Linked DNA regions of Arabidopsis thaliana. The protein of the gene in region 3 purifies or fractionates together with the protein of the main gene of each other region. This does not show direct contact. Each region holds a gene or a part of one and is shown on either strand. Other genes may lie near its edges.

The links.
Region 1: the proteins of SPT16 (region 3) and AT1G63210 fractionate together in Arabidopsis thaliana (co-fractionation; one large-scale study listed by BioGRID). This does not show direct contact.
Region 2: the proteins of SPT16 (region 3) and PKR2 fractionate together in Arabidopsis thaliana (co-fractionation; one large-scale study listed by BioGRID). This does not show direct contact.

What each region holds. Positions count from the first base shown.
Region 1 is NC_003070.9:23,441,609-23,445,364, forward strand, and holds the start of AT1G63210 (Transcription elongation factor Spt6), read left to right. Parts: upstream 1-2,079; coding exon 2,080-3,756. UniProt on the Arabidopsis thaliana protein: Transcription elongation factor that enhances the transcription elongation by RNA polymerase II (RNAPII).
Region 2 is NC_003075.7:15,429,399-15,433,154, reverse strand, and holds the start of PKR2 (chromatin remodeling factor), read right to left. Parts: upstream 1,628-3,756; coding exon 1,508-1,627; intron 1,442-1,507; coding exon 1,284-1,441; intron 1,272-1,283; coding exon of another isoform or gene 1,202-1,271; intron 1,162-1,201; coding exon 988-1,161; intron 779-987; coding exon 564-778; intron 483-563; coding exon 387-482; intron 292-386; coding exon 155-291; intron 74-154; coding exon 1-73. UniProt on the Arabidopsis thaliana protein: Chromatin remodeling factor that represses the expression of embryonic trait genes upon and after seed germination and thus enables the developmental switch to post-germinative growth.
Region 3 is NC_003075.7:6,604,316-6,608,071, reverse strand, and holds the start of SPT16 (global transcription factor C), read left to right. Parts: upstream 1-1,714; 5' UTR 1,715-1,869; intron 1,870-2,075; exon of another isoform or gene 2,076-2,596; 5' UTR 2,597-2,621; coding exon 2,622-3,756. Other genes in the region: AT4G10720 (Ankyrin repeat family protein), read right to left, coding at 1-193. UniProt on the Arabidopsis thaliana protein: Component of the FACT complex, a general chromatin factor that acts to reorganize nucleosomes. The FACT complex is involved in multiple processes that require DNA as a template such as mRNA elongation, DNA replication and DNA repair.

The DNA.
Region 1 (3,756 bases), on a different chromosome or scaffold from region 3:
CAGGTTACAAGACCACAACCTTTTGGTTGGATTGGGTCATGTGGTTTAGAGAGCGAAGAGATTAGTGTTACAGCTAATCGAGAAACTGAATAACAACATAAGGATGAGAAGATGAAGTAAAGAGGGGGAGTGCATGTGCATTCTAAATTACTAGAAAACACTAATTGAGTAATTGTAATGACCACGGGTCCACGGCCTTCTCGACCACCAACACGTTTTGCATTCTTGAATGACCGTGCTTTCAAAATTTGCGTGTACGTAGCATGTGAACATAGAGGGTTACAAACTTGCATCACTTTTTAAAAAATCATCATGTGATAGCATAAGATGACAAAAGAGAAACGATGTAACAAACAATATTGTTTTTGGTTATCCAGTGGAGATGATTATACTAATATATTCTGCAGAATCACTCTATTTTTGGACACCTTTTAGCCAATATTAGAACAATATCTATTGGAACCCACCCAACGACACGTCTTCACGAATTTCTCAACAAAAAAAAATACTTATACCAAAAGCTAATTTTGTTGAGTGTGATTTTCAAAAGTAAAATGGTTGAAAATTCAAGACACTTCTTTTCATGAATTAATAATGCATATACAAACTCCATGTGATTTCAGTCCGTTTGGTTTTTCCATTTTTTTCTCATTTTTCGTAAATAGAAATAACCTCTAAGTATTCTATCGTGTAAGAAAATAATTTAAGTCTAGAGAAACACCTAACCTTTAAATTAAAAATCATTAATTTTATAGAATAATTTCTTTTTTTTGGCAACGTTAAGCGCCTTAATAACTAGGCTTAAATTAAATCCTTTTTTCAAAAGATGTGATATAAGAAATTATCAATAGTAATTTGGTTTGGTGTTGGGGGAGTGAGTGCCCGTTGTAGTTTTGATCAGTCTGGCGTTTGCTTCCGGTTTGGTGCTGTTTGTGCTAGAGTTTCTAATTGGTTCGTGCTTCTAGTGATCTAGCAGTCTCTTCTAAACACTTGTCTTTGGCTCAAACTCGGTTTCTATTGATTCAAGTGATCGTCGGTCTGGTTTGCTTCTTTACTTTTTTCAGTTCTTAGGATTCATTATCCCATCCTCCGTTGTTTGCTTGATCTTTTTTTTTTTTTTTTTTTTTTTGTTTTGCAATTCTTAATTGTTATGGTTTTTTGTGCTATGAATTTTATTAAGTGTTTTCGGTAGATTCTGCTTTAGTTTTCGAGAATTTCTTTGTTTTTTATAGGTTTAATATTTTAAAAATATATTTCACCTATATATTTTATCATTAGTTTATATAATGAAAAAATTAGTGGAAAAAAGAATTATCAATATAAATTTGTATGAATATGAAAAATAAATCTCTTAATGAATCGAAAAAAATACCAAATATATTAATTAAATATCAGCTAAAAAAAGAGTTTCATAAATATTTTTAAAAATAAGAAATGCTTCAAAACTTCAATTAGTAGCCTCTTAATGCTGGTGTGAACCCTAGAAGTACGAAAAGCCTTTTTCTTTGTTTCTCTTCGCAAAATTCAGAATCAAATAGAGACTAGTTTTACGATCACAGAGTTTCTAGGGTTGATCTCCATCTTCATCGATTTCGTATAGCTAAATATTCTAACCTAGTCATGAATAGGATCGACGAAGGTACATAAAAAGCTCTGCTTTCAAAAGCCCTAAATTCTCTGTTATTATTATTTTTCTAACGATTCGACTCTGTTTTTGAGACAGAGCCCCAGATTCATGAAGATCCAGTGGAGAACCGTGAGGAAGATGATGAAGACGAAGATGATCAGTATGAGTTTGACGATGGGTTTTTAGTGAATGGTTCTGATGATGGAGAAGAAGAAGAAGAACAGAGACATTGTAGTGAGAAAAAGAGTAGAAGTCGAAGGAAGAAAGACGAATCCTTTACTCTTCACGAAGATGATTATCTACTTCTTAAAGATAACAACGACACTTTCCAAAGAAACAAGTATAAACGTTTGAAGAAATCTTCAGAGGAAGAGGATAAGATCAATAATGATGATGATGATGATGATTTGAGTCACTTCATTGTAGATGAAGATGATCATGGTGCTCAAGGAATGAGGAGGAAGAAAATGAAATATAAGCAAGGAACTGATTCGAACGCTTTACGATACGCTAATGATGTATTTGGTGATCCTGAAGAATTGTTGAAACTTCGGAAAAAGGATTTGAAGTATAACGAAAAGATCGAAAGAAAGTTAGAAGATGAGTTTGAACCAATGGTTCTCTCTGAGAAGTATATGACGGAGAAAGATGATGAAATTAGGAAGCTTGATGTTCCTGAGAGAATGCAGATATTTGAAGAAGCCATTGGAATTGTTTCCCTAGATGACATGAGCATTCAAGAAGAGAGCAACTGGATTTATGCTCGATTGCTTCAAGAACAAGGGCAGGGTTGTTTGATTAATAAGGATGACATTGTGAAGTTTTTAGAGATGTTTCATGTGCAGAAGTTAGAGATACCGTTTATAGCTATGTATCGGAAGGAGCAGTGTCGGAGTTTATTGGACAGTTCTGATGATGATCATGATGGTAGTGATTTCAATCTTGACAAGAAGCTTGAGACCAAGTGGCATAAAGTCTTGTGGATGATTCAAGATTTGGATAGAAAGTGGGTTCTTCTGCGGAAAAGGAAAACCGCGTTGTTTGGTTACTATACCAAACGTTTTGAAGAAGAAACCTGCATGTCTGATCTGAATAAGAGTCTTTTTGAATCTGTTATTAAGTCTCTTCAAGCGGCGGAGACAGAGAGAGAAGTTGATGATGTAGACTCAAAGTTCAACTTGCATTTTCCTCATTGTGAGATCGATGAAGGACAGTACAAGAGGCCGAATAGGAAATCGCAATATAGCATCTGCAGCAAATTTGGGATTAAGGAATTTGCAAACAAGTTTGGTTATAGCGCTGAGCAATTGGGACTAGCGTTGTCTCTTGAGAAAGTTTTTGTTGATGAGCTTGAAGATGCAAAGAAAACACCAGAGGAGATGGCATTGAACTATGAGTGTGCAATGTTTGGAGATTCTCAAGCTGTTCTTAAAGGTGCAAGGCATATGGCTGCGGTTGAGATAAGCTGCGAGCCATCGATTAGAAAGTATGTTCGTGGAATTTTTATGGAGAATGCAGTAGTCTCAACGAGTCCAACACCAGATGGGAATGTGGTTATAGATTCCTTCCATCGGTTTTCTGCGGTTAAGTGGTTAAGCGAGAAGCCATTGAGAAAGTTTGATGGTGTACAATGGCTTCTCATTCAGAAAGCAGAAGAGGAGAAGCTTCTTCAAGTAACTTTCAAGCTGCCTGAGAATCAGATGAATAGGATAATTAGTGAATGCAGTGAACACTATCTAAGTGTTGGTGTTAGTAAGTATGCTCAACTCTGGAACGAGCAGAGGAAATTGATACTGGAGGATGCGGTTCATGGTTTTGTTTTGCCGTCAATGGAGAAAGAAGCAAGATCCTTGCTAACTAGCAGAGCGAAGACTCAGTTGCTTTCAGAGTATGGACAGGTTTTATGGAACAAAGTGTCTTCAGGGCCATATCGAAGGAATAATAATACCTCGGAGGAGGAAGCTGCACCGAGGGTCCTAGCTTGTTGTTGGGGACCTGGAAATCCAGAAACTACATTTGTGATGCTTGATTCATCAGGAGAGCTGGTTGATGTGCTTTACTCAGGTTCCATTGGATTGCGGTCTCGGGATGTAAATGACCAGAAACGTAAAAAAATGGATCAAGATCGT
Region 2 (3,756 bases), 8.8 Mb from region 3:
TACGCCCTTCAGAGAAGTAGAACTCATGTTCCCATATAACATCACGTGCTTCCGAATCCCCAGTGTACATAACCTGCATATATCATACGATGAAAACATTAATAAATAACTAATACCGTATATGTGACATATATATACGAAACATGATACATACCACATTCATATGTGGTGCCCAGGTGGCAAATTCCCTCTCCCAGTTACGGATGGTTGAGAGAGGAGCAACAACTAGATGAGGAGATAAGTTTTCCTCGAACAAAGAGGCCAAGAAGGCAATGCTCTGAATAGTTTTGCCTGCAGCAACCACAAAACCAATCTTATTTTACACAAATGATAAAAGCAAAGCCTATGAATAACCCCAAAAAAGAAATGGATTTTTGAAGACGTACCTAGTCCCATTTCATCCGCAAGGATTACATTGGTTTTCTTGGACCATGAATACCTTAGGAAATTCAGCCCTTCGAGCTGGTATGTATGCAATGTGCCTTAAAAACATATAAGGTAAGTAAATCAATAACATTATACAGAAACTGTATACAAATTGTTCAAGTAGTCTAATAAAATACCTGTAAGAAATTCAGGAGTAAGATCAAACTGTTTGAATTCCTCTCGATTTCTCTCATTTTCGACATATTTATCTCTACGAGAGCTAGAGTTTATATCCTTAAACCTTTGGATTTCATTCTGGAAATCTGAGATGTCAGATTCAGATTCCCAGTAACTATTTCTGTAAGAAAGTTCTTTGTACTTCACCAGATACTCCTCCCCATCATCTCCTTCCCTACATCATATCACAAACAAAAAAACCATAATTGTCAAAACGAAATCCATTAAGTGTCACACTTTTCTACACAGAAGATAGAGAAAGAAATATAAACGCATGAATAAATAATCACAAAGGAAAAAAAAAAAAAAAAAAACATAATTGTCACAACGAGGTCTATCAAGTTAAGGACATAAAAACAAAGGACAAGACTTGAATCACTTAACCGGCAAGCAATAATCCGGTCAACAGTTTTCCATTCAGGACGAATGGCGATAAACTCATGAGCTCCGTTCTCAGCGATGAATACGTCCATAGCAGCGTTAAACCTGGTCACCCTTAATTTTAGTTTTAAATGAGGATGGGACTTGTAAGCCTTCTCGAACTCCTGCTCGGGCACCCTAAGAATTGACATTAATAATCAAGTGATGATAAGATAACCAGACAAGAGAAGCAACAAAAACATAATAATCGACATGTTTAATTAAATACAACACGATATCGCATATTGCTGGGAATTTACCAAGAGCAGTGCAAGTACGATAACCCCTTCCACTTCACAAGATATTGTTTCACGACAACTAGGGTTGGTGTCCCGTTGTCAGAAGAATTCGGATTGTTAGATGCAGTAGGACGCCATTCACGGTCCAAAATCTTTTCAATCTCGCCAAGAGGACAATCCTGAAATGGATCAAATAATTAAAAGTCACTGCAGATCTATAATTTCACAACAAGACAAAGACATACCTGGTTACTTCCGCCTGTTTCTTCAACTTGTTCTTCACGAATGTATTCATCCAACTTGTCTTCAATATAATCTGGCTTTGGCCCGGTTCGTCTACGAAGCCTTTGCAACAGATTAGCCATTTCTCTGCATGAAAAAACCACAACAATGTGTTTGGTCAGTAAATATGATTCATTAAATTTTTAGATAAAATCGTAACAAGAAAGAGTGAAAAGAGAAATATCTCAGAAAATCTAAGACCAAGGAGGAGCGTACAAGATGAAGAAAATGCAAGGGAGCTAAAACGCAAGAGGGGTGATTCTTAAGGATATGATAAACGTCTGTTTATATATATAGAGAGGGAGTGGTCATTATTCTTTATTTCCTTTTAATTTTGTTTTATGGAGATAACACTACCTTTTTTTGTCAATTTCAATGTAAAGGTGAATTAATTTGTAACCAGAAGGGGATGCAGATGTAGTTGTGGCTGTGAGAAATTTTTAGAAGTGAGTCCTAGTGGTTTTTGTGAATGAAATTGTACCTAAAACCGTTAAGATTACGCGGCAATTTTGAAATTTCAACAAGAAATTCGATGATGATTTAAAATAAAATTATCAAAATAACCATATATTGAATAATTAAATATTTAAATATCATTAAAACAAAAAGTTATTTTATTTTATTAGTATAAAAAGTTGTTTGATTTATTAAGTTTCCTTGACACTGGTCAAACTATAAATTTATATGCTTACCAAAAAAAAACTATAAATTTATATTGTATATATACATTTATGTAACATAATTAAAAAATATATATCATATTTAGGGAAGAAATTAATTTAAAGTTTTTTTTATTTAAGATTCTTTGTCTGAATGGGTTGACCAGAAATAAGATTTAAATATTTAGTTATATCTTTAGTATCTAAAGATATGTGTCTGAAAACAAATAAATGAAACTTAAATAAAAATCTATTCAATGCAATATAATGTGATTTGTTTCTATAGAATAAAACAAATATTAAAGAGAGGCATGCAAATGGTAAGTATGAAAAAGGTTATAAAAGAAGAAGGAAATAAAGATTAGATTCATGCACTGTAATTTTGTTTAAAAATTAGCATTATCTTGAGTCTTGACCACAAAACCAAAATTAGTCGTCCGTTACAAATTGGAAAGGGATTTGGTTGTGACCAATAGTATGAAGATGGTTTACTTAGTTTCCAATACTCTATGGACAAATGGTGCATTTTTGTATTTGTTAGTTTTTTTAAGAGGTCCACATTTCAATTGATTAACGCTTTTTAAATTAACTAACACTTAAAAAAAGTTTTGTTACAAAGTATTATATAGATTTTAATTAATTGTAACAGCAAAAGCTTTCATAGCTCAGTTGGTTAGAGCACCCGTTTAGTAAGCGGGAGGTCTTGAGTTCAACTCTCAATGAAAGCAAATTTTTGTTATTTTACAATTAAAATCAGTTTTGTTCATTTTTATTAATCTTTAAAATAGATATGGTGTGAATGTTTCTCTTTATGCTTGGGCCTGTGGCCCTTTTTGGGCTTTGAAAAGCCTTGTAAGTTGACATAAAATCACGCTTATCAATTAGAGAATTATTAAAATATCCACCGAAATGTTTTCGGTGATAATGGGCTTTGAGTGCGTACCAGTAAAAGAAGGTTGAGACTTGAGAATAGCAATTAGCAGCGATCTGACCAAACAACACAACACAGTTAAATCATTCTCGAATACTTCCACTGGATGTCCACTGTGCAGCATGAAATTTGCATATATTTATTTTTAATTGATACAAGTTATTTTAGATGTTTATTGTATTTTTTTTGTAGAGCCATCCTAAAATAACCAAACCTTACGAAAAATAAATAATACAGAAACGTATCCAAAGGGGTTCTTACTCTTTAGAAAATTACTGAAATCAATTGTAGAAGAGCCTAAACATTGATTTAAATTTTGGTTTCTCGGTGGTTTTGTTGGACCATTTTTAGAGCTATAAACTTCTTCTAGAAATTCTTTTTTCTTAAAATGAAATATATTGTGTGTTATAGAAAAAGAATCATAAACAAAGCCCCAATAGTAGTAGCAATCTACTGATTTAGTATCATCAAAATGATGGGACTTGTGTAGAACTGTAGAAGCTTCCCTGACACACATTTTGTAAATTTTGAACGGTTGAAATTAGTGATGGCCTCACTCACCCCTCTCTTGTACTTTCACATTTTCTCTTCAAAGAAAAAAAAACAATTTTCATAAACGTTA
Region 3 (3,756 bases):
TCGCGAAAGACGGCTTAAGATTCATCAGCTCCATGGCAAAAGAAAGGTTACCAGAAGCAGAAGCTATATGGAGAGGAGTGTTGATGAAAGGTATTGCATCAATGATTTCAAGAATGTATGGATTCTCATGGATATGAGCATACAATTCATCGATGCTTCCGATTTGAGTAGCTACGATCAATCTTGGATCCATTATATCAAGAACAAGAAGAAACAAGTCTTTGTTTTTCTTCAAGAAATAAAAACTTTACATTTACTTATAGAATATAATGTCATCGTTTGAACAAGTATTTGATGTTGACTTGACCAATCATTTGTTTAAGCCAATAGAAGACAAACACTAGATGAACTCAGAGAAAGAGACTACAAAAAAAAAGTCTTCTCTAGGGATACTACAAATTTAAGTAGAACTTGATACATTAATTTAAGAGAATATAAATCCTACCAACCCAACACATTGTGAAAATCAGAATTCACAACATGAGAGTAATCATATCACTAAAACGTCGTCGTTTGATCATATCAAAATAATCAGCAAAGATATAAATGATAAGAAAGTCGAGAATTCGACATGTTCCAATACGACACAAGCAAAGTCATTGGCATGCTGGAGCCATTGGAGTAGTCGCCGGTATAATGACAACAAGAGAAAATGATGAAAGCTCCCATAATTTCTGATGCTTTGCCAAAGAGAACAAGGTAAATAAAGATTCCAAAAACCATGTACGTAGCTAGCTTTGAGAGCTTATTGTTTCTCTACTAACGTGTAACATTCTTTGAACATTGTAGAGCATTGGAGATCTAAGTTTGAGCAAGATATTGGCTGGAAAGACAAGGAAATTAGCTGCTCGAATGTTTTCGACATTGGTAATTGTTCCTCAATAGGGATTGTTCCTTTATTTTTCTATCTCTGCATTGCCTCTTAGCTGAAATGTGTTGTTTTTTGAATTACAGGTATTGAAACAGGATCAACCATATGGCGATATCGCTCTGAAACAGTGTTAGGCATTAAGCGTACATTGATCTAGCTTCAAACAATTCTAAACCGCATATAAGATAAATCATTATATACTAATTTTTTTTTTGGTAAGAGTATATACTTAGATATATAGTATAAAACAAACATAAAATGTAATGATTCATCATTTATTTAATAACATAGCATTTTTTCTTTTTTTGAGAAATCACTTCCCAATTAAGTGATTTTGCAAATAAAAAAAGTGATAATCATTTACTTCATTAACTTTATAATATGGTTATGTACCTCATCATTATATACTGTAAACTACATTTACAAAGATAATTTTGTAGTTATAGCCAAAGGTCAAAAGTTGAAAACTCTCTCTCTCAAATCTTAAAACTAAAGCACAAATTTGAGATCACATATCCATGCATGTATAATGTATTGTCACACTAAAAATCGGTTTAATTTCTCTTGAGTTTTAAACCAATCGAGTTGTAAACAAGTTTCGGTCTAATTTCGAGATAAACTTGGTTTGGTCTTCTGGTTCAATTAGCTCGGTTGCTGTTTATTTTTTATCATTCATATATAACAAAATCGACAACGATATAGTAAATGGGCCACCGGCAAAACAAAAATATAGTACATGGGCCTTTATTAGTCACTATGTTAAGCCCAATACAAATCGGTGTTTAACAGTAAGCGAAGCCCACCATCATCAGAATAAAAGTATGTTCCACTCTCAGGAAATGCCTTGGTAGAAAAACCATTCTTTGGTAACTTTCGCTTACTCTCTCCCCATTCTCTCTCGAAGAGAGCCTCGCCGGAGTTTGTTTTTCTTCTTGTTTCGCGGCCAAAACCGCCTTTGTGTAAAGCTACCTTGTTATTTTCCTCCGTTAACCATCTGGGTAAACTCTTCGCTTGATTTTTCTGTTCTTCCCCCTTTTTCGATTTCTCACTGTTTTTAATCTACGATTCAACTTGTTTAAATCTCGTTTTCGTGTTCTTCGATTTGATTCTTCGTTTAAAATCATGTTCTTAACTCGATCCATTTTGATTTCGCTGCGTTAGACAAGTAATTGATTTTTGTTTTTTCTTGTTCTTCCATTTCTAGGGTTTCGCCGTGCGAAGCTTCCGTTCGCGTCTTTGCTTTAATTTTGAGATTTTATTGATTCTATTTCGAAGTGGTTTTTTTTTTCCTTACCCTAATTTTTCTTTCTGGGTCTGAAATTTGGTGTAATTTACTGCAAATTTTGACCTATTTTGAAGGCTATGAAACCCTAGATTTCAATTTGGATTCGTTAAGTTTATATCTCTCGACATTGTTTCACGTTTTTGATATATATAGAGTCTAATGTTTTGCGATATTAGTTCTCATTTTCACGTTTTTGTTGCCAATACCTATATGTATATGATTATGTCCTGCGCATTTGGAGATTGACGTTGTTTAAAAACTGTTGAACTTTATTTGGCATTCACGAGATAAGGTTTTGTTGGTCTTTTCAATTTTTGATAAAAAGATTAGTCTTTTGTTTTTTTCCTGATTAGTGAAAGCTTTAGGCTTGTGAATCTCTCTCTGTCTCGTTTATGTAAAACTTTCTTGTTTCTGAGTATTATTTTACTTTTTCTTCGCAGTATAGGTTGCTGCTGGACTCTTTAGATGGCAGACTCTCGGAATGGTAATGCCCGAGCCCCTCCTAGTGGAGTGCCTCCAAAAGCTGGGAATACTTATTCCATAGATGTTAAAAACTTTATCTCACGTGCAAGAGCATTGTATGAACACTGGAAGAAGCACAGTGCAGACTTATGGGGATCTGCCGACGCTCTTGCCATTGCTACCCCTCCTGCTTCTGATGATCTGCGTTACCTGAAATCTTCAGCGTTGAATATTTGGCTTCTTGGGTATGAGTTTCCAGATACAATTATGGTTTTTACCAAGAAGCAGATCCATTTCCTGTGTAGTAGGAACAAGGCTTCTCTACTTGAAGTTGTGAAAAAACCTGCACATGATGAGTTGAAGCTTGATGTTATCATGCATGTTAAGCCTAAGGGTGATGATGGAACAGGGCTGATGGATGCCATATTTCGTGCCATCCGTGATCTATCCCGGGGTGATGGAAATGATTCACAAGTTGTTGGACACATTGCTCGTGAAGCCCCTGAAGGTAAGCTTCTGGAGACATGGACTGAGAGGCTAAAGAATGCAAACTTCCAGTTCGTAGATATAACTGGGGGGCTGTCTGATCTATTTGCTGTTAAAGACGATACTGAGGTCATGAGTGTGAAGAAAGCTGCGTATCTAGCCTACAGTGTGATGAAAAATGTTGTTGTTCCAAATCTTGAGAGTGCCATTGATGAGGAGAAAGACGTCACCCACTCTGCCCTGATGGATCTCACTGAGAAAGCGATACTTGAGCCAACTAAGGCCAGTGTGAAACTGAAGCCAGAGAATGTTGACATATGCTACCCTCCGATATTTCAAAGCGGAGGCAAGTTTGATCTCAAACCAAGTGCTGCAAGCAATGATGAACTGCTCACTTATGATCCAGCGAGTATCATAATATGTGCTGTTGGTGCTAGGTATAATAGTTATTGCTCAAATGTTGCCAGGACCTACCTAATAGATGCAACTTCTCTCCAGAGCAAGGCATATGAGGTTCTTCTCAAGGCACATGAGGCTGCTATTGATGCTTTGAGGTCAGGAAGAAAGATAAACACTGTCTATCAAGCTGCCCTTTCTGTTGTTGAAAAGAATGCCCCTGAGTTCGTTGACAAGCTAACTAAATCTGCTGGGA